Styela clava: one gene and its partners. The protein of the gene in region 4 purifies or fractionates together with the protein of the main gene of each other region. This does not show direct contact. Links are inferred from orthologs where the notes say so. Each region holds a gene or a part of one and is shown on either strand. Other genes may lie near its edges. The genes, in order: ATP-dependent RNA helicase A protein-like, casein kinase II subunit beta, uncharacterized protein LOC120338085 and FACT complex subunit SSRP1-like.

Evidence for each region.
Region 1: the proteins of FACT complex subunit SSRP1-like (region 4) and ATP-dependent RNA helicase A protein-like fractionate together in Homo sapiens (co-fractionation; 3 studies listed by BioGRID and IntAct, with this or other methods). This does not show direct contact. The link is inferred for Styela clava from reciprocal best matches to the Homo sapiens genes SSRP1 and DHX9.
Region 2: the proteins of FACT complex subunit SSRP1-like (region 4) and casein kinase II subunit beta fractionate together in Homo sapiens (co-fractionation; 5 studies listed by BioGRID and IntAct, with this or other methods). This does not show direct contact. The link is inferred for Styela clava from reciprocal best matches to the Homo sapiens genes SSRP1 and CSNK2B.
Region 3: the proteins of FACT complex subunit SSRP1-like (region 4) and uncharacterized protein LOC120338085 fractionate together in Homo sapiens (co-fractionation; 3 studies listed by BioGRID and IntAct, with this or other methods). This does not show direct contact. The link is inferred for Styela clava from reciprocal best matches to the Homo sapiens genes SSRP1 and LEO1.

The regions. Positions count from the first base shown.
Region 1 is NC_135252.1:13,018,549-13,025,693, reverse strand, and holds the start of ATP-dependent RNA helicase A protein-like, read left to right. Parts: upstream 1-4,125; 5' UTR 4,126-4,505; intron 4,506-5,350; 5' UTR 5,351-6,262; coding exon 6,263-6,373; intron 6,374-6,745; coding exon 6,746-6,886; intron 6,887-7,145. UniProt on the Homo sapiens protein: Multifunctional ATP-dependent nucleic acid helicase that unwinds DNA and RNA in a 3' to 5' direction and that plays important roles in many processes, such as DNA replication, transcriptional activation, post-transcriptional RNA regulation, mRNA translation and RNA-mediated gene silencing.
Region 2 is NC_135252.1:9,253,759-9,261,093, forward strand, and holds the start of casein kinase II subunit beta, read left to right. Parts: upstream 1-4,314; 5' UTR 4,315-4,387; intron 4,388-7,335. Other genes in the region: NGFI-A-binding protein 1-like, read right to left, coding at 439-555, 1,413-1,580, 2,182-2,339, 3,751-3,850. UniProt on the Homo sapiens protein: Regulatory subunit of casein kinase II/CK2.
Region 3 is NC_135250.1:1,320,431-1,327,533, forward strand, and holds the start of uncharacterized protein LOC120338085, read left to right. Parts: upstream 1-4,087; 5' UTR 4,088-4,105; coding exon 4,106-4,228; intron 4,229-4,495; coding exon 4,496-4,601; intron 4,602-6,529; coding exon 6,530-6,586; intron 6,587-6,766; coding exon 6,767-6,922; intron 6,923-7,103. Other genes in the region: ganglioside-induced differentiation-associated protein 2-like, read left to right, coding at 1-518. UniProt on the Homo sapiens protein: Component of the PAF1 complex (PAF1C) which has multiple functions during transcription by RNA polymerase II and is implicated in regulation of development and maintenance of embryonic stem cell pluripotency.
Region 4 is NC_135254.1:10,881,939-10,889,769, reverse strand, and holds the start of FACT complex subunit SSRP1-like, read left to right. Parts: upstream 1-4,817; 5' UTR 4,818-5,025; coding exon 5,026-5,082; intron 5,083-6,655; coding exon 6,656-6,841; intron 6,842-7,216; coding exon 7,217-7,322; intron 7,323-7,712; coding exon 7,713-7,831. Other genes in the region: uncharacterized protein LOC144422860, read right to left, coding at 300-1,016. UniProt on the Homo sapiens protein: Component of the FACT complex, a general chromatin factor that acts to reorganize nucleosomes. The FACT complex is involved in multiple processes that require DNA as a template such as mRNA elongation, DNA replication and DNA repair.

The DNA of each region.
Region 1 (7,145 bases), on a different chromosome or scaffold from region 4:
TTTTTAAAGTGAAATTTGACAAAGTCTACTTTTTTACTCAACTTAACTGATCAATAATATAATAATTCAATTAATAATTACCATGCAAATCGGCCTAGTAGAACAACTGTTCCTTATAGTCGCTTACTTTGTTGCTTTGTTCTCTTTTTTAAATTTGTCTTGTTTCTAGAAAAATATGATTAGTTTCAATTTCATTTATTTGTTTATTCTGAAAATTCGTAAATGTAGCAAAATGAGCTGTGTCATTGAAACAAAATATACAAAAAACAATACACTATCCTGATAGATTTTCTATTGTAAATTGACACAACCAACGAGCACGACCGATAACAAGCTTTTAGTTAGCCTTAGTTTTCATTTACTTGGAAATGAAAAAAAAACTGTAATAGAAAGGATAAAATCAATAACACCTGCTGTTATTAATTTTGAAAATAGTATAACAATATTTTAAAGCCTACTATAGTCTCAGTGATCCAGTCAATTGGGTAAGCAAATTCAATGTACTGTTGCAATGCATTGATAAAATTATTACTTATATGTATTGAATTCTTGAAAAATAAACACGTCAAGAATGTTTTCACAACAAGCCATTGAAGAATCATCTCGGCCCGCTTTTTCAAATTTGAAATTAAAGTAGAAAAACATTTTATAAATTATGTCGTATAATTAGCGAATTATTAATTAATTAGTGATGAGACACGCGGTGTCACTATAGAGCCATGAATCGAAACCGCAGTTTCGATCGATAAGTCTTCGGTCTCCGACCGATATTATCGTTTATTGATTGGTGGTGAACATAAACTTAAATTATATTCGATTTATGGAGTCTATTTAAAATAAAATAAAAAGTTTTTTACAAGGTAAATATTGCTAGTTCAAAGTGTTTTGGCGGGTTATCTCTAAGGCTCCGACCAGAGATTATATGCTATTTCAATGGCCAGATAAGCTGTAGATCAGGGGTGTCAAACTTGCGGCCCGCGGGCCGCATGCGGCCCCAGAGAATTTCCAATGCGGCCCTCGAACGCCTAACAATAAATGTAATATATATTTTGTTACCTAAATGTAATACATTTTTCAAACCCTAAAGTGAAACTGCTTATTCACACAGAAAACGACAATTATAACATTGGAAAATTGAATGTTTTTGTTTTCAATTTGACACAATTATGTATGGATACACCTCAAGCTAGCAAAAGAATACTTGTAAAAAAAACACTACGGGAATTAAATGAAACACAAAGTACATGAAAAAAGTGGCAATTTTAAATAAAAGGGGAGTTGCAATATTTCTGCATTTCTCAAAATTCTAAAGCGCATTGATCAATTTTTCACGTTTCTATCAGTAAAATGAAAGAATACAATATGAGTAGACATCATCAGAATAAGCTCAGCAGTCAATATGACAATTTTAAAGATCAACTACGAACAGAAAATATTTATGTGTTTGTATACTATTATGATTATACCATACTTAGTTACTAAATATCAATATCAATCATAACTCAACCGGTCCTATGCCACGTGAAGGTAGTGGCGGGAAAAGTTTGGTTCTAAAATTTGTTTGTTTACTGATCTATACATGGAATGATGAACGTAATATTTTTGCATTAATGAAATTAATCAAATATTCTCAACGATCCAGATTAACCGATGATCATGTGACCTCGTTAATCAGAGTTGATACTGTAAAATCATTTCAGCCTGATATTAGTAAGCTGGTGGCACAAAAGAGATGTCAAAAGTCAGGACATGTTCAATAAAAAACATTGAGTTCATTCTGTAGCAATATTGTAAATTTTAGATCTATATATTTAGATTAAGTCATTTTTAGTGTATGTATTATTCTTTCCTTATCAAAACTTTGTTCAAAAATATTTTGGATAGTTATACATAAAATAAAATTTTTGTAATAAATACAGTAAATTGCAAAAATAGTGAAATGCAAAAATTAATATGTAAATGGTATTTAAAATTTAAGAAAATAACAAAACTTCATTTGACTGTTTAATTGCATCACAGTATATGTCACAAACTACACCTATTTAAAATATGCTTCAAGTATACATTATCAAAATATATCAAATCTGTTTGCGGCCCTTTGCACAATTCCCAAAATGCAATGCGGCCTTCAAACCCACGAGTTTGACACCCCTGCTGTAGATTATCTATTATATAACATAAGCGTGTAATATTTACCCCTGTGTAACGACTATCGTCGCATGTTTGCAAACGTAAATTCCCCAGTCTATAGTCGATATTTCTTTGTACAACAATGATCCACACAATTGTCAAACCATGCAGTATATCTACCGGTAAATATAAATACTTGATAAATAAATATATTCACACAATTTTTATTTATTAAAATATATATGTAATACGTTTTATATAAAAGGATTCGCATAGACCTTCAATTTTGTACAATGAAATTTACACTAATTTACTCTAATAATTGGACGCTATATGAAACGGGTGTTGCTAACGTGATATTCATAGTAGTACCAGGAACAACGAAAAGACATTTTAAAACATTGGTTGCAATTGAGCGTATGGGAATGGAACTTATATACTGCTATCGACCCACATTATGAATGCAACAGATTACCAAATTACAAATGTGTATAAAACAAGAAACATTGTGCAAAATGAAAAAAGTCTAACTTATTCGGGTAACCAAGTCCCACTTGATTAGTCCGTACAACTTTGTATGCCCATCTAAATATATATAAAAAAATTGTCTCACCGGGGAATCAAACTTTGGTTTAGGTTTAAATTGGATTTCATAAAAGATTGTTCTTTTATCTCGGAAGTTCCTTGCTTCAACCTTTTTGATTATGTTGTTTATCTCGCGATTATCGACACTTGAAATCTTGATTTGCCGGAACCCCTCAAGTTTTATAATTCGCTATTTATAAAACATAATACCAAAAGTAGCAGAATTGTACCAGCGACTTAGTATATATATATATTTTTTATCAAAAAACATCTGCTTACCTTAATGTTGTAATGTTGCGCCAAAAAAAATTAAAGACTACGGTACGTTGAAAAGCTCCTACAGAACAGACAAACCGTTCGTCATTACTAACTCCAGTGAATGGTTGAGAAAAGCGAAGCGCACATTCCCGCTCAAACTGATTAGCGATATCACATTATTAATTAACTGTGATCAAATTAGAAAACGGTCGAAGAAGAGGTAAGTAATTACTCGGACGATCCCTTGGCCCGGCGATATCATGTGTTTTTTATGGTATACTCCATGTTGATGCGAATTTAAAAAATGGCAACAAACATTGTTGCATTTTGATAGGCGTATGGTTATAAAATAGCAATCATAATTCTTTGATTATGTTATGGTTTAAGTATGTTACTCTATTTCTCCTTTCCCAACGTTAAATTGGAGGTCTTAAGATTATCTAAAAATCAGTGATATTTAAGGCAAACTTTTCAAATGATATAGTGCTACTGGTAATTTAAACCTAGGCATGTTCTAATAATGGGTTAAGCTCGGCGTGAGAATGATGCCGGACTGTACAGTACTTGACTTTATAATTTTCAGTACGTGAGCAGGGCTTGCAGAATAGTGCCCGAGTTTGTTATTTTCTGTGAACAAATATGGAGTCGTCGAATTATAGTTATAAACGCGAGATTTGACCAATGCGCAGTATGAGTGGTACACTGTAGTTACGGAGCGTAGTTTTATTCCCGTTTTCTCCATGTCCACAGCAATCCTAATGCGTAAATAAATTGTATTGTGCAGCGCTTGAATAAGACATGACGAATCTGGTGGAACTACGAACGAACTTTTTGAAAGTGACTCTGGCGGAGGTCACAAATTTTAGCCGAACAAAGTCCATTATCATGCATCGGAAAAAAATAACTGATATTTATAAGTAAATGGATATCGGTTATCATATTTTGTATATTTGAAAATCTCGCAATTCTCATAGCCGGCGCCTTCAGCTTCAACTTAAAACCTGCATATAAATGTGTAGGCCAAGCCAGCAATTTGGTGATTCGAGAAACCTTTACCATTTTTGGAACCATGTTTTAACTTGAAAGACTTCCCTGTTTTAACCACATTCTACAGTTCTACGTCCAAGTAGGCCTTAGTAGGTTTTAGTCCTTTCTATTTCTGGAATGGCTGCGAATACATTTTTCATACTGCTGTCTTCGCCAGCGTTTAATTTTCTGAATTAAGTTGACGGTTGAGTTGAACTAAACTGTATGTATCGGTATATTTCAGTATTTAGATTTTATTGTAAGTGCCTCGTCGTCAATTCATGCATTATGTCCGATTTCCCGTTGCAGCAACGCCAACGATCTCAACATTCTCAAAACCCTGCTTTTGCAAAATTTGTTAACAAAACTGATAGGAACGTTTCTGTTGAATGGCTCAACTTTCAGGGAAATCATGTTGTGTATAAAGACAGATTAGAACCAAGAGATTATATATTGATGGATACTTTCAAGACACATCCTTGGGTTTTTTATGAGAGTATTTGCAGGTACGGTATGGATGTTCAGAGTGGAGAGTACGGTACCGGTACTGGAGTAATTTCGGAAAATATGCATTAAATTCGTAAAATTCTTGTCATAGAATGTGGCAAGAATAATCTGCAATCTAGCAATTGTTAATACAGAGACTGAAAGATGATGCATGGATTGGTAATGCAATACTGCAATAATAGATTTTGTGAGGTTTCAAGGTACCGTACTTAACCCATCTCTGTACTGCTGTACAGCAGTGTCTAGTCTACCTAAATGCAGAAATGTCTTGTGGTACATTGCAGCGTTGGGTTAGTTGTAGTCTATGACTCTATTCCATGTTTAGCATTTAATTATTCTTCATGACCCTACTATATACCGGTATGTCAGTATGTTAGAAAACATTATTTGCGATTATTGATTTCAGGCATTAATCTGTTAGCCGGTATTTTTACCTTCATTTTTAATTATGGTTACGGTAATTCAGCAATTACCTACATTATGCATGAACTGTATCATTGTATAACCTACGGTAATTTCTAAATTTACGAACCACTTTTCTGCATTTAACTCACAGCCAGATGAGAGATTATGGCAAAATATTTCAATTTCTCAATTTTATCTTCATTTTCAAATTGGATTTCCATTGTGAAAATATCAGTTTTGCTGAAAGAACGGTACTCTCGACGATCTGAATGTTAAAACTACATTTTTGATTTGAATTCTGATTAGACTAATTTCTTTGAATATAGTCTAGTATTGTAGTAGGATTAAATATTATTTAATCTCCTTCTTTGCTTGAGAAATTTATTCATATTCCTGCATTCACTCTCCACTCAAGAGTATATGTTTTTTTTTTCTTCAGACATCCACTCACTTTCCTTCCTAACTTTGAGAAAATCTACTTTCCTGTTGAATGGAGTGGAGAACATCAAAGATTTCATTCCGTTGAAATTGTGAATCCTCTTTTGAATTTAAGGCAAATATGCTTGAACTACTTGCACCGTTACTTGGTGGTAAATTGTGAATATACCTCTATTGCTACATTTGACTCGAAAGTTGATCAACTCTTTGATGGATTACCTGTTGTATTAGCTAATGACTTGAAACAGTTATCGAAAGATCAGGATAATAAAAACCTTCCTATTTATTTTGAGGGAGATTAGTATCTATAATGTACAGGTCAGGATACCTACCTTAATACTGTTTACGGAAAAAATTGGCTTGAGATCTTTGGTACTTTAAATATTTTGATTGTCGTATACTTAATCTCTAATGTTTATTTGATTTTAATTTTAGAACATAAGATTGTTGTATGAGTATAATATCAACTAGTATTTATTTAAAAAACTTACATTTCTGACACAAATTTTATATAAAATGATTTTAGACTCGGCAATTCTTTCTTAAAAAACCTATATATTAATGTATATTATATGTTTTATAAAGCTGATGCTTGTTTTTATTTTTTCTATTCTAACATTATGCAAAAGTCTTCAATTTTTGTACCTTTCATTAACTGTCGTTTATTATGCACTCCAAACCTATTGTCCGAATGTTCCTAGTGAGGTAACATCTCATTAAGTTTCTAATGCAAATTTGGTGATGCTACTTGATTTTTCCGAATTGAAATTGAAGTTTAATGTGTTTATTGGTTTTGAAATGTAAAGCTAGGTTTCTTCTAAATAAAAACTATATTGCAAGTATCTTGTCAATACCTTTTAATATTATTAGTTGAATATCGTAAGGTCTCTCTGTAGTATGACATTTTTTCATTATGACTGAAGTCAAGACATTTGTATATTCATGGCTTGGAAAACAAAAGCTAACTCCAGTTTATGATGTTCAAGCTGGTGGCAACAAGTATAAACCAAGATTTAAATGTGAGGTAAGCAGAGAATATCGTTCATTGCATTTTTCAACTGAAGTGTCAACTGTCAAGCCATTTACTACATTTGTGGTGAAATGAATAAACTTATTATTTGCCACATGAGTGGATTGGGATAAATTTTGCTCCATTAATGATGATTTAACTTTAACAAAGCCAATTTGGTAATAAGGAAAAACTATTTATATTGCCAATGACATGCAGTCTTGAGTTGCTTTGAATATTCGAGTGTTTTTTTCATTTCTGTAATATGTAAATTGCTTCACTGATTGGATTTGACTATTTTAGACATATAATATGAAAATATAGTAAAGTTTATAATTCTTTAGGTATCAAACTTAATTTATGTTCAACTATTATTATTATTTTTAGCTCAGAGTTGATACAATACCTTATGCTGGAATAGGAAACTCAACAAATAAGAAGGATGCCCAAGCAAACGCTGCCTGGGATTTTGTTAATTATCTTGTTCGAGCTGGAAAAATGAAGCCTTCTGAAGTACCCCCAAAATCGGTTCGTATTTATATCTATATAAATACATGATTATCATTCAAGGATATTTTGTTTTTTCTCTTATATGTTTTGTCCTGTATTATATCCATTCGAGATTTGAAATTTATACAGTAGTATCTTTTGTCACTAGCTGGAACCTAAATCTTGAACTTGTTTAAAAAAAATGACAAAATGCTAATTTCTTTAAAAAATTGCCATGAAAAAATAACTTCACATGAAAATATGATGGGGACTACTTGTACATGTAATGATAACATGA
Region 2 (7,335 bases), on a different chromosome or scaffold from region 4:
CAAAATGAAACAAGATCAGACAATATCATACACACAAATCAATAGCAATCCTCAGACATAAGTAAAGTTGCTATATGGTAATATAATAGTTTGGTTATTGAAAAATTATCATCTTTATCAATTTTTTTCATCAAAGCATGTGCTGACACCTAAAATGCAAATTATTATAGTATTGCTGCGAAAAATAACAAAGATCCTAGGAATTTACAACTGAGTTATATTTAACTAGGTTGAATCCTTTATTCAGGAATATCAAAAACTACCGTAGGTAAAATATCACATACATGATTTTATTCAATGTACATATTACAACAATTTGAACAAAAATTTATAAATATATATTATATAAATTCACAAGATGAGCTCCTACTCATATTTCCCTTCTTGTTTGACTGTTATTTTAACTTCATATACAATTCTATTGGCAAGATGACAAACCTCTGCATCATCAATATCTCCTGTGCCATTAACTTTCCTTGAATTGTTGTCTATTCTAAACACGTTTCCGAATCCATTCATTGATTTAGGTGACGTCATGGCAGATCCACCAACGCTCTTAACATAAAAAATTGATCAATTTCACAGTAGAACAGGAAAATAATGTTTATACATTTCGAAACGTAAATGCAATGTTACTTTCGATAAAACGTTCTCGATATCAATGTAGAAAAAAGAAATATAAGTTATATAAGAAATATTAAAGTCAAAATATTCATTCTTTGGTATAAATAGGCAACCAAAATATTTTGGATATAATATGAGAATATACATATATCGACTATAGTAAAATTTAAAAAATTCCAGGTAAAAACTCAATTGATATAAAACTAACTTCTAGCAACCATTAATAGAATTCACGAATTATCCCATTAATTTTAACTTATTAATACTCAATATTCACCAAAAATTACTTCATCCCAATCACAACAAAAATCTGTACAATTTCTCAAATGCCAAAAAAATTTGAATTTGAACTGTATTATAATTCCTGAATGTTAAATATTTAAGATATTGAAAATAACCATAAATTTTTGGCTAAAGCTGCAAGCATAAGCAGTCCATTTTGTTGAATATGATTGCCATTTTCTTTAAAGCAATATGATATATACCAAATAGAGGATCGAAATTTTAAGAATATTGATTGAATGTGGTATGGTTCATTTCTGATAATGCAAATATAGCAATAGTGAAAGCAATTCTTTGTGACATCGAGAATTATAGAAAAGTGTTAGCAAAATTGACACACGCACATATCAACAAGGATTGACAAAAAACCTAATAATATTGATCATATGAAAATGGTGATCTTTTTCAAATATAATCACATCACAGAGATATTCACAAAATTTGGCTCAATCAACAAAAAAGTTATAGCAATCTAACGAATTAATCTGCAATTAAAAAAGTTTTACCAGTGGTCTGTTTGAAAGTTCATCTTGTCCCGGGAGAGCACCGTTAGTTTCTCTTGCAAAACCGGGAGAGGTGGCTTTATTAGGAATTGTGATTGACATTCCTGCAAGATCTCTAGCATCGATTCCAAGTGATGTTAATGGAATACTTTGAGCAGGAAGATAATTGATCTTTCATAGAAAACAAGATAACTTTAATAATACTAAAAATGTGAAGTTATATATTAAAGAATTCAAAGATTGTGATATGTGTAGTGTATATAAGCACAGATATGAAATAACCTAACTAAAATAGATAAGGAGAACAAATTTACACTTTGTATCAAACAAATAAAATCTACATATATGGATTTTCAGATCACAATTAGTATATTATTAAGCGCATATTTTACGACTTGGGCTATTTTCAAGATAACTAAAGATGCAAAATCTTGTAAAAAAAATAACTGCTTGGGATAGAGATAGAATGAATTCAATTTTTCATCTGGTATAAGGAAATGTGAACTAGTTAATTTAATAAATTGGCAAATTGCAACTGTTATAGGTTGAGATTGGACTGTAAAATCAGCTACCAACTTCAGCATTATATATGAAAATGGCCGAGAAAGAAAGATAACATATAAAATAACAGAGTTCGTGCTGTTTTTATCACGATCAAGAATCCAATCCAACAGTTGCTATTCGTGACAACGAATGGATTCTTGTGCCTTTCTAATATTTCATAACAAATGTGAAGCATAAAAATTTTAAAATATTGTTCAAAGAAACATACACTTGTTCCTCGAAACATAGCAGGCCGAGTAACCCATTCTTGAAGTGCTTTTTGTAATCTTCTAACATGCAATGGTTTGCAAGCCATTCCAACCAACGCCATAATTTCAAGAAATTCTTCTTCTCCAGCTTCACAAAGTTGCTGCACATCATCGCCACCTAGATTTGTGGTCGATAATAATTAGTTGAAATACAAAAGCACTTTCCACAAAATCGAATTCCATTTATATGTTCATTGTGGTTTTGCGATCATGATGAATCTACAGCGATAAATTTAATTGTTAATATTGGAAAGATAAAGTTGGGTCTAGTATAGTTTAGTACCACAAGTAGTTCCAGTGGGCAATCCTAACCCCCACTTGACTACGTCACCGAAAAATTACGTCATTCCGACGTCAGAGTGGCGTAATAATAAGGCCCACCGAAGTATGCGGATGGTCGTCCAAAACGCGCAGACGATAACCCCGAAATCGAGCAAGCTATTTCTCTCGTTTTCTCGTCGCAACGATCACGATAGGAGAGAGATCGCCGGCTTTAGCAAGTTCTTATCGGCCGCGCAGATGCCATTCCGGGCGATCGTAATCATACTTTGGCAATCCCTATGACATGATGGTGACGCAGTAGTGATGTAATTTTTGGATGGCATAGTCAGGTGAGGGTTAGGAATAACATATGCAAAAATCGTTATGCTACGCCCACTGGAAGTACTTGTGGTAATAAACTATACGGGTCTCGTGTAGTTTCTTACCTAACATACTTCTAGTGGGCGTAGCATCACGATTTTTGACATATCAATCCTAACCCCCACCTGACTATGCCATCCAAAAATTACGTCACTACGACATCACAATCACGTCATAGAGCTTGTCAAATATACATACTATCGTCCGAAATGGCATCGGCGCCGACGATAAAGAACTTACTAACGTCAGCGATCTCTCTCATATTGAGATCGTTGCGACGTAAAAAACGAGAGAAATAGCAGTTCGGGTTCGCAGACGTGCGCGTCTTGGATGACAGTTCGTATAGTTTGAAGGTCTCTATTACGTCACTGTGACGTCGTAGAGACGTAATTTTTGGGTGGCATAGTCAGGTGGGGGTTAGGATTGACACATGAAAAAATTGTTGTGCTACGCCTGCTATGAGTATGTAAGGTAGGAAACTACGGGACCAACTATACTAGACCCGGATTGACATATGCAAAAATAATTGAGCCAGGCCAACTAGAAGTGCATGCGGAACTAAACTAGTCTATACCAGACCCCAAAAGTTGACTGTAAGCATAAAAATTAAAAATAATCTTCATTATAAAAAAAGTTGGAAGCTCGGGTGGGTCCGGCGAACTTATTTCAAGCGCAGCATGTCTGCATGTAGGGAATATTTTAGACCATATTTGTATATTGTGAGAATTGTAGGTTTAACATTAGTAGTAGGTGATTTTATAATGCAGTACAGTCCGACAGTACGGTACCTGCAGTAATGCAAGTTGTTCGCAAACTGGGCAAACACATGACAAACTTTTAAATATAGAACAGCCTGGCAAAAGTTGATGAATTGTATATTCACTTACCTTGTGAAATAAATGTTTCGTAATAGGATAACAGGTTCGCTCGCTGCAACACTTTGAACAATTGCAACTCTCCTAGCGTCGAAGGCTTTGTAGTACTCATGATTACAAAGCCTGTGGAACTACGCAGTCAAATCGGCAACCTACTACCTCAAGTTAAACTTCCTGGTTTGTGGATGTTTGAATGGAAAGTTAAGATAAATAAAGCGAATGCAAAACCATCGGAATCCCTCGAAGCGCGACTGAACGCACAACTAAACTGCGTCGCATCTTTGATCGGATGAGACATCTCGGATCGATCAAGAGAAGAAGGGAATCACAGAGAAAAGTCGGCGTCAAAACAACCCGCGTGGGTCCTCGATGCGATCGCAAAACATTTGACAGATAGAAAGAAAGACAACTTTTAAATTAGATCGCCCATTGATAAGAAATGAAATTGTAAAGTAATCGGTTTTAAAAATTAGTCTGAAACTGTAAAATAGCTTAATAGAGTGATGGTTTTGAAGTGCGATCTGTAACATGAAAAAAAAATTAACGAGAGATGGCAGGCAAGAGCCAAAACCATGGTCACAACTTCAGAACTTCCATCACTCTGCGTTGTTTGGCTTGGAGTTTCAAGTGGTTTCCTGGGATCGTCGAGGTAATTCCGCTTATTAACTACATAGCTTTGTTTAAAGGATCTTGGTAATTATTTTAATGGGTCGTAGGCTAGTTCTTGCTTAGCCTGAACAAGCATTAAGATATTTATTTGAACCACTCCTATGGCTGTATCGAAAATCTCAATAATACTGTCTGACTGTAATATAAATATGGAAATGGGTGAAGTTATATTATCAACTTCTGATTGTATCTCAGCATGTCTATAGCTCCTGAATCAGTTTGATTTTATTCTTCTGAGAATTATCATATACGGTTAATTACCTACCTCAATAACCTGATAATGTTATACCGGTAACGCACGTGCTGATTTTAATATACTTTAATTTGTGCTATTTGTACTGCCTTGTCTTCTACGGTTCTTATTCATTTTCTATATTGAGCCCGGTTTCGATATTGTGGTAGGCCTAGATCACAGCGCAGTACAGAATAGGGTGGTATAGCCAGTCTGCGGACGATTTCATTCAAACGGCTATAAAACAAAAACCAATATTTCTAACCCGTTAATTTTTTCACCGTAGGTGCATTGGCATGTAACTTTCTACGACCAGGGGTTAAGCTATACAAAGCTTAATTCTTCTTAATTTCTTAATCGGAAAAGAAAGATCTTTTATCACAATTAAAGGTATGTTCGTCCCAACATGTGGAATCACTCTTTCTCCCTCTCTCTGTATATATAAGCTATACGCAGCCATGCGTGAAAAAATTAGGCTTCTAATTGCATTTCTGACCGTCATATATTTTAAGAACACGGTCATTTCGAACAAAACTTGTCAAATTATATACAAAGCACCGCATCAAAGCAATCAAACAGACAAAAACACGGTGGTCGCAAATTGGTCCACAAAGATGTTATCGACGTATTGGAAATGCGCACCCCCCTATTCCCCCTCCTTTAAATGTAGAAACGCGAAAAATTAAAGATGGGTAAAAGAAACACAACTCTACCCCCTTGCCAAGTTTCATCTTTTTATCTCCTATATTTGTATGGATTTTCAAGTTTTTTCAATAGGAAATGGGTAGTAGAAAAAATAATCCGTTTTTTTTCTTCGGTCAGGTTTTCGGTCGTAACTTTTTTGTTTGTGGCCGCATTTTAGTGTAATTTCGCAGAGCTGTGAGGGACAAGAGGACGATCACGCGTGAGAAATATCGTTGCGGTTCGCTAATTTTTTCGACATTAATTAGATCGATGAAGTTGATGGCCGCAAATAGGTCGGGGCCGCAAAGCGGGTAAGCCACCCTATAATGTAACCCATGTCCTCTAAACTCATAATTCTGCTATAAATTGTTGGATCATGGAACAAAATTTTCCTATAGTTATGTTGTCGCAACCAATTCTGACAGTTTATTTACAGCTTAAATGCAATGGCAAGGAGCCTTGATGATCTTCGACGGTCTTGCATACTGACCTGCACAAAACACAAAACAATGTGTAAACAATGTGTGCTATGGCCAACTGGATTGACCGTTGTCTACAATTCCAACTCTGCTAGTAATGGAAGTCATTAAGGAATTACGGATCGGTTGTTTTATGTCAAATCGCTTAGTACTAAAATATTTTGAAATCACACAAGGGAAAAGGTACAACAGGCACAATGGTATTTGAAAGGGAATGAACCGTTTTATAATGATATATTCAAAAATTCTTAGGCCATATCACACCCAGTAAAATTGTGATGTTACACTGCTGCCTTGGCCCGCTGTTATTCTGTAGGCAACACTTTAGTTTACAAGGCCGGATACAGGATATCATAATATTATCTGGATGTCAATTTTGCATCTAACTAAATCTTTACTTCGTTCATGTGATTCATAATACCATTGGCACGGGGTCGGGGATATGGGAATGGTCACATTGAGGGTGATAGAATTATGCAACAGAGGTAAAGTTGCCATTTCTTTCCAACCCTCTGCAATTGATTACTGACGATGAACTGTCTCATTTGTTATATAATATAATAAATATTAACCACTCGCCCAATAAAAAATGTATTAATGATCAAATTACATAAGGAATCATTAGCTGTATAACCATAGTATCGGTAAAGTAATCTTTGGTATGAGTCTTCAATTTGTGTGTGAATTGAAGACTGGTCAGCAAATGATGTCGTACCGCTCTCCCAGTTTAAACAAACTGATATACAGAATGTACTGCCAAGTATTAATCAAATTACTTGCCATAAAACCTGCTGTGTTCATTTTATTCAAGGGAATATCACCAATTTTACTTGGTGTACCAGAAAATACAAAAAAATAGTTCGATAAGTGATGATAAAGGCCGCTGGAAATGATTCTAGAGAGAATATTCTCCATAATCAAACCATAGTTGCATGACATAATGATTTTAGAATAGCTAATGAATGCTTTACAATAAACAACATATAAAGGTTTTTAGGAAGTAGTGCCAAACACTTTGAATTTTAGCGAGGACCATTTTTATAAATAACCAGTAGCTATCAGCGAATGTTTATGGAAGACTGAATCGGTGTTTGTTATTCTGCTACCAACATGTATTGAATGAAAGGGTTAATATTTCCATAGTAATCTCAAACCATATATAAGCACATTTTCCATTTTTTCTTGATGGTTGGATTGCTTGAGCCAAGTTTCCATTTGCTGTAGTCTTTTGTTCTTTTCTTCACTGTAATGATATAATATTGATTTTGAGGTGATCATACAACATTATGCTGCCTATAATCCAAATAATGTCATCAATTACAAAATGCTTATGCCTTACTGTTAGGATTATCCTTGTATCACTATATATCCCCAATATTGATTTGGTTTTGGATACAATACTGTGTCCAATTAATATAATTCTATTAACCGGTAATGAGAAATGCTCATCTCATAGTGTAGTTGTATTTACGTTAAGATTTTCATGGGTATACAATTTATTAACGGGATGTGCCAACTATAGGTTCCATGTGA
Region 3 (7,103 bases), on a different chromosome or scaffold from region 4:
ATGTTGTTATTTCAATAATTGGAAAACACCTCAATTTTTATGAGATTGATTTAGAAAAGTTTCTTTTATACCTCATTTTGACCTTTGACCCTATTGTGAACAATCCGTACACTGTTGTGTACTTTCACACGCAGACGCTAGAGTTCAATCGACCTACTTCAGAATATTTGAAGAAATTATACAATACTTTTGATTATCGCTATAAATCGAATCTTTCTAGATTATGTATGGTCCATACCAACACGATGATGAAAATTACAACTTGGATTTTTGCGTCATTTTCCGTCAGTGACCTCAAAAGTCGGATTATGAATATTCGATCAGTGCCGGAATTGTATAAAATCGTCCCACCGAATCAAATTGATGTTCCCCCGTTTGTGTTGACCTATGATATGAAAACGAATCCTCAAGCCTACAGTTCTTCTCCTACGAGAAGTCCAACAAATTCATTGGGACAAAGGAATGCAAAACCTACTAGAGTGTCAGACTTCAACCAAGTTGCCCATGGAACACTCTGACTTTATTTTCACGAAGGGCTGTTACTTTGTTACATGAGTTAGTTAGGCCAGTGGTTCTCAAACTTCCTTAATCCATGACCCCTTCCCAAAGACTATCAACACTTCATGGTTTCCCTGCTCTTTTCAGTATAAAAATAGTTTATTTTTAACAGGTTTTATCAGTTATTCGCTTCATCATGTTCAATGAAGCCAACAAAGGAAAGCAAACTAATAAATGCTTTACGTTCGAAGATTTAAACAATCACAGTTTATTTTCTATGTCTTAATGTGGCGAATGCTACCTTATAAAAGTCTTTGCTTTGGTCTTCATAGTACTTCTTCATGTAGGACTGTAAGGGTCCAATTTGAGTTTGGCCTATGTGTTATTTTGCTAAATCAAATCACTGTTTTTTTTGGGAGAAAAATCACTTATTATTCTTCAAATACTGGCCCCCCAATCTGATTTCCATGAAGTATAATTTCTCAGCCATACAATTGACAGCAACCATTTTATTATCTTTTTTAATCCTTGGTGCATTTTCATTGCAATTGACTTGAGATTTTTCCTAAATTTACAAGTTTTTTTGTTTCTATACTATTTTTCTATCAATGGGATTACGATTATGTTGCATGGACATATCTTAAGTTTAGTATATCTTATCCAAACTTGAAAGAAAACATGACGAAAAATAACAGCATTCTGTACTTGTAAATTATATTTGGTTTTTCTGGCCAGTCATGCACCATTAATTTTAGTAGGCTATTAGAGAAATTGCAATAGTTAGTAAATCAAGCCAGACTTCAGCTGCCCCACAAATGTTTTTAGTTTTAATCAACTGGAAATATTTTACTCGTTCACTTAAGTCGTTCCCAACCTTGTTTGTTAAACTAGCAATATAGGGTGTTCATAAAGTCTTCTGAATTTTTTTAAAATTGCAGAGGGTATTTATCGATACCATATATTGTTTTGCCCTCACAGATGTATTAAATGAAGTAAAAGTACTTGAACAATTACTGATTAACATACAACAATTTTGGTTAAGATATATTGAGAACTGACTTCATTACAGAATTGAAAATTGTAAAAGGAATTATGGACAACCTGTACTGCAGCACATACAAATTCTTCCCTAAGAAAGACAAAATTTCTCACAGGGTGGAAATTGAAGTATTTCTGCATATTGTTTCAGTTTGATAGTATAAAACCTCATATATTTTCAAATTGAGCAAATCTTGGATTGAAATAAGATAGAGCAACTGAATAATAGTTCAACCCAACTTTTTCATATGTTTGTTTAATGCAAAGTCACAAGTCTAACAGGAAAGTAACCAAACCTGATATTTTGTGTGAATCAATGTCCCCAAATATTTCTAAAAAATTTTATGTTGATCCATATTTTTTGTGTCAAATTATAGTCATATTAATTACCATTGTTGCATCATGAATAGTTTCATTATGAGCTGTGAACTTAAATCCTGTGACATCATACGTATCCAATTATTGTGCAATATTACATTATATCATGTTGGGTTCTGTAGTTTATACGTACTACACTCCTTTTTATCTGTGTTTGAGCAGTATTTGAATATTTATATTCATATCTAAATTTGCTTAACTGTAATGCAGTGGTTTCCAAATTGCGGCGTAATAAAGGCTCATGTAAGGATTTGATATGGCCCGCTGAAATAGTTCAACACCCCAATTGTTATGTCATCATCACAGTTTAAGCATGTGTATATTAGTAGCAATTCACTTATACCGGTATCTTAATTATACAAGCCGTTATCAACCTTTTGTGGGCGTTCCCCTTTCCCGCCCCGCAAATTTCATTCCGCTTCTAATTTTGGCCCCTCAGAATACAAATTTCTCTTTTTCTATGAAGACTACCGTATATGCTCGTTTTACTGCCCGATCTTGATTAAGGGCCCGTTTGAATAGCTGCCCGTGTGAACAGAACATAAAAATAAATAAGAGCCGGTGCTTGAATACCCACCCGATGTAAAAGCTGATTTTTCAGTGGTAGAGAACAATAGGAAATAAGAAGCGCTTTTGTCACAACGCTGTTGAATTTTGGGCGCCGGTAGATAACACTCACGCGTTAGGCGTCCGAGTACATAACAGATAGCATTGATTACATAACACCATGGTTCTCAAACTGGGTGTCGCGTCCCAAGTGCAATATTGATAGGGCGTCGCAAAGCTTTTCTTTTGCGGATTTGTACCTGCGGTCCGTAGAAAAAGTCAAAGTTTTCGTTGTTCTTGTTTAAATCATACTTGAGAACTGGAAATAACAATATATTAATTATTGTAACGATCGAAAATAACAAGCGCCCGTGCTTGAATAAGGGCCCGGTTAGTGAGTTGGTTGAAAACAATATGGGCCCGGGCTACGGAATGAGCAAATACGGTATATTCTGTTTTGCATTGATAGCCTTTTGATTAGGCCTTCTCATATTCTTATCATTTTCTGGCTCAGGCGCCAATACTATATTCTGTGGCATTTACGGCCTTTTAATTGAGCCGTCCTATAGGCTTTCTTTCCCCCAAAATAAAATGGGAAAAAAGAAGATTATAATTCAAGTTTAGGCTCCTTTACCATATTCTGTATTCCATTAATTGTCCTTCAATTGAGCCATTTTACACCTTTCCTCTCCTCAAGATATAAATTGAAAAAAGTGCTCTACCGGCTTTCCACCCCTCAGAATAATTATGAAAAGCAAATAATTCTGCCTTAAGTGCCGTTGCTGTACTCTATTCATTTTTTTTCTCGATTAAACCATATTATTTACTTTTTCCACTCTTCTGTCTAAATGACATAGAGTCTAATTGATTGTGATCCAGTGGTTCTCAAACTTTGTGAAACTTTCTCTTCTTAGAATTAGTCAAAAGTTATGCCCACCTCAAAAAATAATTTGCTAAAATGCAAGTTGTAGTAACAGTAAATAACATAAAGTAAGGCGAAAGTATGTTTTATTCAAAAAACATGTTGAAAATATGTGTACTTACTAAAGAAATGTATAGAATAAAGAAATATGAATATCAATATTAAGGCAGGCAAGATCAAACCTAACAAATATTTTTATCCGCAATTGGGCCATTCCAAGCAAAAGTTGAATTCCATCAATTTTTTTTCAAAAGTGTAGTGACACAAAGTGTTTGATTGTGTGATACAGTTATTTCATATGAAATAGACGCACTGAATTTAGGTTAATAAAGTTTAAATGTTTGCAGTGCTGTAAGACATTTCCTCACCCATTCAACGATTTATTACCAGAATTTTAGGAGAAGTTGCATCTATATATTGCATCTAACAACATGCAAAATTTCTGGAATTGTCATGTAGTGTCACTTGGAATAGCCCAATTAGCTTCACTCCTACTTACCCCTTGTGGGGTGTGCCACCATTTGAGAACCACTGGTGTGATCTGTCTACTATCTGTAAACCATTTCACTGATAACTTTGCAAGCTTTTATGTTAAAAACCTTTATTGACTGATTATAATCACTTTCTTATGAATTGAATGTAAAATTGTTTATTTTTTGTATAAAAACCATGATTTGAATTTTGATTTTGCATTTAAGACCTTTAGTGTAAAATTTATATATAATGGACGAAGAATTATTTGGGGAGGGAAGTAGCAGTGAGGAAGAGCATGAAGAGGGAGTAGAGAACACAACAGAACAACAACAAGAAAGTGCAGAAGAAGAATCAAGTGATGGCGGAGAGGAGGTTAGGAGTTGTATGTTGGAACATGGTATCCCGTCCAGTTGAATAGGGGATCACGATACCCATCAGTGATTTATTTCAGATGCATGGACTTGATGGTGGAGAAAACTGCAACTGACAAGCATTCAATGAACCACCCTACTACGGAGAGAAGTCTAGCAATCTTCTTGCACATAATTACTGCCACAAGATTAAACAAAATTACTCACGCAACGTTGTATAATAATTTTTGGTTACCCATAAAAGATTCATTGTTTTTCTATGTTTTAGGAGGCTGACCAGAATGTGGCAAGTGGAAGTGGATCTGAAGCAGAGTCAAAGGAAAGCTCGGCAGAAGAAGAAAAAAGTGGGGAGGAGAGTGCAGGCGAGCAGGAAGGTAAAATAGAGGGAAATGCTCTAATACAGTGGTTTCATATTTTCATGATTCGTGGCCCCATCGAAGACTCTCAATGCTTGGGACCCCCTTCTCTTCCATAAAAACATCTAGTTTTGCTTTTAACTGGTTCATCTGTTTAATATCAAAAAGCCAATAAATAAAAGTGAGGAAACATTTGCATTGCAGTCAGAGAATATAAAATTGCAATCACATTTCATGTGAATATTCCCTCAAATTAAAATAAAACAGCAAAATTTTTGGTAAAATTCTGAATTCTTGATATAATTTTCAGAAATTGAAGTCTCATAATATTGCCAACGGGCCATTATCTTGGAATTCTTGGAAACTCATAAGAGATATAAAACTAATCAAAATTCAGATTCAAACTTTGTAAATAAACATTGACTACTATGTGTTCTTTTGACAGACTTCAGAATATATTCTATTTTCCATGATTTCAAATTTTATTTTAGAATGCATTTGAACTCATTAATTACTTTGTTTTAAAATTTCACATGACATAACACTATCATGTTGTCGCGAAAAATGCCTTCAATATTTGACATTTCATTGCTCGTGATTGATTACCTATGACATAATAACTATAAATGTCAAAAGATAGTGGGTGTGAGTTGTGATAGCATAATGCTAATTAGCATTTGTTTATGACAAAACAGTCATGCATTAAAACTTTTAACCCCATGGTATTACGTGAATGAATGAATCTAAAATCATACGACAACGGGAAATGTATTGTTATGTGTGTGTACAAGGATGGCTAAAACTGAATTGAATTGAGCCGTGGTGACAATAAATTCTATACAGTAATGGCTTAGTAATGGATCCACATTTTATGATAAACTCTCCATTGTTTCCATTTCTTTCATCTCGTGCAATTTATGATAAACAGCTCAAGTTTAAACGAAGTTTATGTGTGTCATTCACTAATTTTTTAACCTTCTGTTACCTAATTATTTCGTGTCGTGGTCCCAACCCAAGTACAAATCTTTGCGTGTTTCATGAGATTTATTGTAAAAACATCAATTGGCGATTAATTCCCTATTTTCCCATTGGGGCATGGACATGTCATAAACTTACTATTGTGCATATCGTCGTTGTGTCGTACCTCTTTGTCTTGTGTATTAAACCAGAGTTTTATTTGTATATTTCATGTCTGTTGTCCTACTATAACGCAGCAGTCCTAAACTGCTGTTATACTTGTTAGGGGTGCTACACATCCGTGTGTTAGGCCAGTAAGGTCTTGTACACGTATCTCGTCTTTGTTTTACTGTTTAACTATTATGCAGGTACTGTTACATTTTTGAGGCAAGTAAACATACATACATACAACTATTCCAGCCTACATTTAAAAATAGTAGTATGTAATATTCCAAGTATTTTAAATGAGCCATGTTTAATTAAGAATATACAAAAGCCAATATGGTTGTTCAATGGTATACAGACGTTCCGTCCGTTTTTAAGCGTTTTAGCAGTGTTCTTGGTGTTTTTAGACGGTTTTTCACTGTTTTTAAGCGTTTTAGCAGAGTTCTTAGTGTTTTTAGACAGTTTTTCACTGTTATTAAGCGTTTTAGAAGGGTTATTGATGTTTTTAGACGGTTTTTCACTGTTTTCAAGCGTTTTAGAAGGGTTATTGGTGTTTTTAGACAGTTTTTCACTGTTTTTAAGCAGGCTTTCGCGCAAGCTGAAGTGAGGAGATACATTTATCAACAATGCAATAGTAAACCATGTTTGAAGTTAAAGTTTAACTAAACAACTTCATGTACGGACCTCAAGCAAATAAGTGATTAATTATACCCATACCCAACCTGATATCACAATAGGGTCATTTTTTTTAAACTTTGCTCGTCTTGGAATGAAAATCTTATTCGCTCATTTAAAGGTTTTTTAAAACCTATCATTTTACACAGCGAGTGATGAAGAAAATGCTGAAGAAACCGAAGACAAAGAAACTCAAGAAGCATCAGGTATTTATATTACCGGTTAAACAAACTTAAAAAATATTAGTAAAACTACACACAAATATAGAGTACACCCCCCCCCCCCAAAAAAAAAAAAACATTTAGATTTAGATAGATGACTGTAGGGAAACGCTGCTGAGCCCGATTTGTTCATAAGAAATCTTAATATTCTCAAATTTGTTTCAGGCAATGATAGTTCTGATGGGGAGGAGGAGGCGGAAGGGGCTGCAGAGGCTTCAGGGGGAGAAGAAAGTCCTACAGCAGCACAAGAAGAATCTGATGAAGGTGGGAGTGAAGCTGGAGGGGAAACCCCTGTACACTCAGATTCTGATGGTGAAGCAGGTCTGTGCTGGTTTTGTGCTTAATAATATGATATTGATTAATATTTTGTAATACTTACGAGAGGCAAAATCGGGCCCAAAAATTTCAGCTCGGCCCAGGTCCGCTGGTATTAAACCCGACCCAGCCCGAGCATGACTAATTAACTGGATTTGCAGGCTTGAAGCAAACCCAAACTTTTATT
Region 4 (7,831 bases):
CTCTAGTGGGATATTTTCCATGCAAAGGGTTTATCATGCCAAATTTTTAGTCTCTGCTTTTAAATTTCTTTCTTATACTTGAGCTTGACATCTTTTGCCATCTTGTTTGCACCTTTTTTCTCAGTTAAGAAATTAGTAACACCAGTTTTCTTCATAAATTCATCAGTTTTGTTGAAGATTGAAACGCCTATTTTTATTTTTATCGAAATCTCGCACGATGCGCATTAGTGGATCTTCTGTATCGGTCAAATATATTTTCAGTCCTACAGTAGATGGTTTGTAACTTTCCTCAATTTGAATCAGACCTCGTCCACCCTTCGTGATAAGTACAAACGTTCAGTGTCTGCTCGAGGATGATGTATTTTATTTATCGTCATTAGTTTTCTCGTTTTGGTATCAAATTGTTTGATTTCTTGCTTAGTCCACTTGATGATATTGAAACTGTACGAAACTACTGGTATTGCAAAACTGTTAATTGCCTTGAAGATGTTTACAGAGTTAAGTTCACTATTCAAAACCGATCGAAGTCTTCTCAAATATTCCTTTTTGATAATTTTTTCATGTCTGATTCCATCAGCTTCATGTACTCCAAGGCAACGATATGTTGAATCGCTACCGAGTTCTTTTATCGAGGTTTCTTGATCTAATTGTAAATTTGATTCTCTAAATAATTTACCTTTGCGAAAAGATGCTTTTGCGCATTTCTCGAGGCCGAATGTCATTTTGATGTCATCACTGAATGATTTCAAAGTTTTCAATAACATTTCAAGTTGGTTATCATTTTTAGAATACAGCTTCAAATCATCCATATAAAATAAATGAGATATTTTTTGTTTCAAAATTTCGTAGCCACAACCGGTTTCTTTCAGCAAAGTGCTAAGCGGGGCCAAGGCAAGGCAGAACGCAAGAGGTGAAAACGAGTCTCCTTGAAAAATTCCGCATGAAATCGAAATGGTGTCACTTTGTATCTTTCCGTCATTGTGCCTCAGGATCAAATTTGTTTGCCAATTTTTCATTGTAATTTTGAAAAAAGAGATTAGGAATTAGGATAGGTGACAACTTGTAAATTTCGAATACCTTTAAAAGCCAAGAATGCGGTACACTGTCAAACGCTTTTCTGTAATCAATCCATGCGGTACTCATGTGTTTTTGATAAGTTCTGCAATTTTCCAAAATCATTTTATTTACTAGTAGTTGGTCTTTGCATCCATCCTTTGCGCCTTGAGTTGTATTTTCTGCTTTAGATTCTCTCTGATTACCGCAATATTACTGTGTAACCCATCTAATTTGTACCGATTTGTTATTTTCTTCATTGTTCGTTTATTAAGAATACTACCGTTTTGTATTTCTGATAAGATAGACAAATCTGCTCTCATTTGTTTAATTTGGCTCTCAATTCTTACTTTCCATTTTGCCTTGTAATTGTGCCTTGGTCCAGTGGGTTTCCTAATTATTGCTCCAACTTTTTCAGTAACCATAGTTGAACATGCATAAATAATGTTTGATATTTCAGTAACATCCAGATCAAATTCCAAATCTTGCTTCAAAAGGGCAATAGCTTCGTTGCCTTCTGCTAGCCAGATTTTAGTTTCTTTCGTCAATTGTAATTTTGGCAATTTGAGTCTGTTTTTAAAATCTTGTTGAGGTGAGTTTATGCATGGCAGTTGTAATATTTCTTGTACATTGTCACATAGGCCATTTTCGTCATGTACATTGTCATTTTGACTCATATCCCTTGATCCCAAGTATTTCTGTTTGATGGATTTCAGTTCTATATCTGTCAGTCGGTTATTTCAAATTATATCCCGTCGGACATTTGCAAGTCCATTTGCTTTCATATTTTGGACATTCAAAGAGTGGGGTCCTTCAAGCCAATTTGTAAGTGTTTGTTTAGTAATACATTTTGGGGAAGAGCTCACAGCTCTGTAGTACGCTTCCATCACTTGTATATACTCTTCACGTTTCCAACGATGTTTTTTAATTTTTTCTTTTCTTTCCGATATTTCACGTATGGGGCTCGGTTGAGGAATATCCTCTGTTGAGGGACCACTTATATCGTGATGTGAGAGTGTGTCAGTAGAAATACTGACAATGTTTTTTTGGGACCTTTTTATAGAGGGCGTCGCCCCAGCCTCTATGTAGTTTTTTTATGTCGAGTTATCATTTTAAATTTTACCTTTTTGGTCCGGGGCTGCTTATTGAATATTCACAGCTGACCTAGTTTTACCTAGGTGTTTCCCCTATCCGCCACCTTGGGGACCCAGCCAGTAGAGATGAGGTCGAACCCCCCTGGGTTATTATTATTATTAATTTAATTGTGATCATTTTAATCTGCGGTTGTGTTGACGAAATAAAAGCAATACTACTCAGAAAATTTCATGACAATCCGTGGACACAAAAATGCGTGGTAAAGTGCCCCATTATATTTTGCTTTGATTCGCATTTTTGTGGATTCGACAAATCTGAGCTGTTCTAAAACACTTACGGCGCTCCTGTACTGCACGTACCAATGTCGAGGCAGTAAAGCAAAGAATCCTAAGGGAAAATGCCCTGGTAGGTATACTACGGTAGCAGTGAAGCAACCAAGTTTTGCGATTTGCAAGCGTTTTTAATCGGTAGCGGATAATCATAAAACAAAAGTTATGGTGTTTTTCGTTTTATTTTTAGTATTACTTTTTTTTCAATTAAGGAAATTTGGGTTGCAACCCTCGACACCAGAAAAAAATTTATTCCTCGTTGTTCGAACTCGCTAGAAATATCACTTAGGACTTAGGTCATCTATCGGCGCGTGTTTTCGTCGGAAATCCGCAAGTGAGTTGTGAAATCCACTCGTTTGATTAAATTAAGCTACCCGCAAGTGACCTATCGCGTCACCTGTTACCAAATTTATGAATACTGTAGTTGAATTGCTATTCTAATACTTGAATATTCGAATATATGCCCAGCGCTACTCTGTAACCAGTGATTATTGACTCCATTAATGTTATGTGAATAAACTTGCTTGGTATGTTTTATGTAAATTTTAACGTAAATCGTAACTTGGCTGATAGTTAAGTTTTGCAAAATCGCTTGCGACCCGCAGTGAATTTCTGGCTCGTTACGGACTCATTCAAACGCTTCGCGGACTCATTTGAGACCGCGGGCTCGGGTTGGGAAACACTGATATATACACACACACAATATTATTTCTTCAGTGTACATAGCTTTAACGTAGTAGTATATATTTACGTTTTAACAGTCGGGGTGAAGTCGCTGTGATTTTTTACTTGAAACACAAAAACAATATCTTTAATAACAAGAGAGCTACGCACAAATATATGGACACGTTAGACCAGAGCGAATCAGTCTTTACCGGTACCTTTGACGCTACCGGTACCCTCAAAAAAGTTCTGAATTTTCAGTAGCAAGAATTTTGCAGAATCAAAACGTACAGCCAGTCATGACACTGACTAAAATCCGTGTTCCCATGGATAAAAAATAATACAGCAAAATTTTAGACGAAATATCAAATTTCATAGAATTCACCCAAAATATTGAAATAAATAAAAGTAATAGCCTTCTAGCGAAGAAATTAATCTTTAACCACTGAAAATTTCAAAGCAATTGGTCCTGTATTCGAAGAGAAAAGCGATTTTTTAAAAACGTGTCAAAGAACAACAACAACACAAGAGAGCTACGCACAAATATATGGACACGTTAGACCAGAGCGAATCAGTCCTTACCGGTACCTTTGACGCTACCGGTACCCTCAAAAAAGTTCTGAATTTCCAGTAGCAAGAATTTTGCAGAATCAAAACGTACAGCCAGTCATGACACTGACTAAAATCCGTGTTCCCATGGATAAAAAATAATACAGCAAAATTTTAGACGAAATATCAAATTTCATAGAATTCACGCAAAATTTTGAAATAAATAAAAGTAATAGCCTTCTAGCAAAAAAATTAATCTTTAACCACTGAAAATTTCAAAGCAATTGGTCCAGTATTTGAAGAGAAAAGCGACTTTTTAAAAACGTGTCAAAGAACAAGAACAACATAATATTGAAACGATCGTTATGTCCACTACGTGTCCAATAATATTGAAACGATCGTTATTGCCACTAAACGTGTCCAATAATAACTCTTACTTATACAGTTATACAGTATACTTAAGACTCTAACTATAACGGCTCAGCACCATACGATGGCGATGTGCTCGTTAGAGTGATTGGAATAAATAGCTCGTACAGGCACTTTATTTTTGATGACGCGGTTCTGTCTGAGTTCCTTTCAAAGTTCAAAATGATTGTCCAAAGATGTTTATTGTTGAGTCAAAAGTTGGTGAAATAGTAGTCAGATAATGGTGCAATAGTTGTCAAACAGAAATCCGGTAAAATACAGTGCTATTACACAGGAGGGACCAATAATAACTATACGAAACAGGAAGTAGAATTATATGATGTAAATTTAAACTACGCCTAATTAATAATACTAACCCCCCCCCCCCCGATTGATTAAGATACAAATTTATACGTCCTACCTCCAAGCGGCTCACGCCGAAAGAGATCCCGCCAACATCAATGGTCAGGGTTCGATGCCCTAAGTTACCGTTGCCAGTTTAGTTACAATAATAGCGGTCACTGTTTATAATCATGGCCGCTACACTAACTATACCGAACAAAACCTTGGTAACATATTACAGTAATGCGGGTCTTCTTTAATTATTTGTTGGAAACGACTTTTCAGGTTTCTGTAGAAAGTCTTGATTGTAGATACTTTTTCGTGAACTCTACAGATTCCGCTGGAGGACGCACCACTGTTCGCGGGATTTTCCCTCTATTCACTCCATGTACTGAAGGCTTCTGATCCAAAGTGACTATAAAGTGTTATACTATAACTTATAGTCACTTTGTTCTGATCTAACCAAGGTTGGCTTGAGGCTTTGTGATAGAGTTAGTCTTTACAACAAGTACCGGTACTTCTAGTTTTGCCTCATTGGTGAAGATCTAACTTTGGATTACTTCTGCTGTACACAAGTAAAGCTGCCATGTCGGCCAGCGTTTTGGATTACAGTGATATTTATCAAGAAATTCGAGGCGCGTTGGTGAGTCAATCATGGGTTGTCATTGTTAATCATTTTGCCTTTACTGCGCATAGCCATAGCTTCACTGACTGTCTTGTAAGGGAGGAATAGGTACTCACTCTTATAATTGATGTCTTTTAATGTGGGGGTTTATTCTTCAGTTCTTCGAATCGAAAACTTAGGTACCGGTATCTGATCTAGACTATCGGATACATGAGAAATTTATTCTGTGATATAGGGTGGTGTAGCCAGTCTGCGGACGATTTCATTCAAACCGCTATAAAACAAAAACCAATATTTCTAACCCGTTAATTTTTTCACCGTAGGTGCATTGGCATTTATTCTACACGCTGAACTTCGAATTAACTTTCTCAACCAGGGGTTAAAGCTATACAAACCACCAAAGTTCGACACTCTGAAGACGTATTTGCGACCGAACGACCAGTGTGCGACCACGGATTTCAAGCCTTGAACATCGTTTCTGCTGCGTCGAGACTAGGGCATACGCAGCCATGCGTGAAAAAAAGGGCTTCTAATTGCATTTCTGACCGCCATATATTTTAAGAACACGATTATTTCAAACAAAATTCTTCAAATTATAAACAAAGCACCGCATCACAGCAATCAAACAGACAAAAACACGGTGGTCGCAAATTAGTTGACAAAGATATTATTGACGTATTGGAAATGCGCACCCCCCTACTCCCCCTCCTTTGAAGATAGAAACGCGAAACTTTAAAGATGGGTAAAAGAAACACAACTCTACCCACCTGCCAAGTTTCATCTCTTTATCTCTTATATTTGTATGGATTTTCAAGCTTTTTTGAAGGAACAATGGGTAGTTGGCGACATGGTAAAATGGTCCGTTTTTTTTCTTCGGTCAGGTTTTCGGGCATAACTTTTTTATTTGTGGCCGCATTTTAGTGTAATTTCGTAGAGCTACGAGGGATAAGTGGACGATAACGCGTGAGAAATATCGGCGCGTTTCGTTAATTTTTTCGGCATTAATTTAATCGATGAAGTTGATGGTCGCAGATAGGTCATGGCCGCAAAGTGGGTAAGCCACCCAATCACAATAAAAAGTTTTTGTTTGGTGTCAAATGTGAAACAGTGCTGCAGTAGGCTATGCCATACAATTATGTGCGAGAGGATTTCTGGACTCCTTGCCATTATAGGGTGGTAACTGTGGCAAGCTGGTCAATTACCGTACCTACGGCTTCCTCCAACACCAAATTCATCCATCTCAAACAAATAATTGGCTAACTAATCTCATACTCGTCATGGACTCGTACGGTAACTAAACGAGATACTGTGGTTCACCCTATGATTGAGCCATCGTATCGGCTTTCTTCTCCTCCGGGATGATTATGCAAAATCTTATTATAACTGTGCCGTACTGACTTTTATTTCAGGGACAGCATTGCCTACCTAATTTAGTAACACCTCTGGTGAGGTGAGATCATGGGATTTGAACCAGCGATCTGTAACTTGTGATGTTTTCATATTTTTTTCCCAATGTTTTAAGCAGGACAATAACTTCATATGATATGGATATTTTATCGGTTTATAAATTTAAATGGTATTTATTTTTCAGCATGAAGGTAGACTCCGGCTTAACAATAATAATGTCGTTTTCAAAAATATAAAAACTGGAAAAGTTGAAACAATTCCACTATCCGACATAGAGAGTGTTGTGTGGAGAAGAGTTGCTCGGGGATATGAGTTGAAACTTGAGTTGACAGACGGACGTTCTTGCAAATACGATGGATTCAAAGAGGCGGTATATATCTTGCAAATATTTTATGCTGTATCATAGCTTAACTTATTTTCTGAGTACCGTAATTACATAGTGAAAAATTTGCATCCCCAATTAACCATTTTTTTTTTCTTTCCTGTAACGGATATGCTGGTATTTTCCAGTTATCATTTAAAATATGCAATTTTATTCCTGCTACAGCATTCTTGCGTTACACGCATACAGATCCACTGGCGCAAAGACATTGAGAAAGGATTGGGAGTTAGTCTCGCGCACCTCTACTGATAGTTGTATCATTTCAAACATTGTCAAAATTTATATGCTATTCCACCATGTTTGGGATATTATGATTGTTGTGTTGTGGTTATTAATACAATATCAATAACATACAAATTTCAGGAGTTTGAAAAGATCAATAAGCATGTGAAAAATAATTACAATGTTACAATTGAACAACAAGACATGTCTGCGAAAGGATGGAACTGGGGTGATACAACATTCAATGGTAGGCTACATTTTGTTTCAAATTTGTCATCATATGTGATTGAACTATCACTCTGAGTAAATCCATACACAAAAATGCACTTTCAAATTGGTTGTAATCGTAATATTTTCAAGAACTGGAATCTTAATTTTATCTTTAATATTTCATTGCACGCTAATTCAGGTAGCAGACATGAGATCTTTTAATAATATGATTGAAGTAATATTTTATGACTTAAATTATTTAAGAATATTCGGGCATTTGAATGGGTTGTTTTAAAGTATAACCTGTAATAATCGCTCACTTTTTGTCTACTGTTGTATAGAGACTTGAGAATGTCAATGATATTATGTTTAATTTCTGTTTTTTTAACGATATGAAAATTAAAAGAAGACTTATGACAATTTATAGGTTATGAACTACAGTTTGATGTTGACTCAAAAAGAGCTTTTGAAATTCCATTGCAAAATGTATCACAATGTACACCAGGAAAAAACGAAGTTTCATTAGAATTTCATCAGAATGATGAT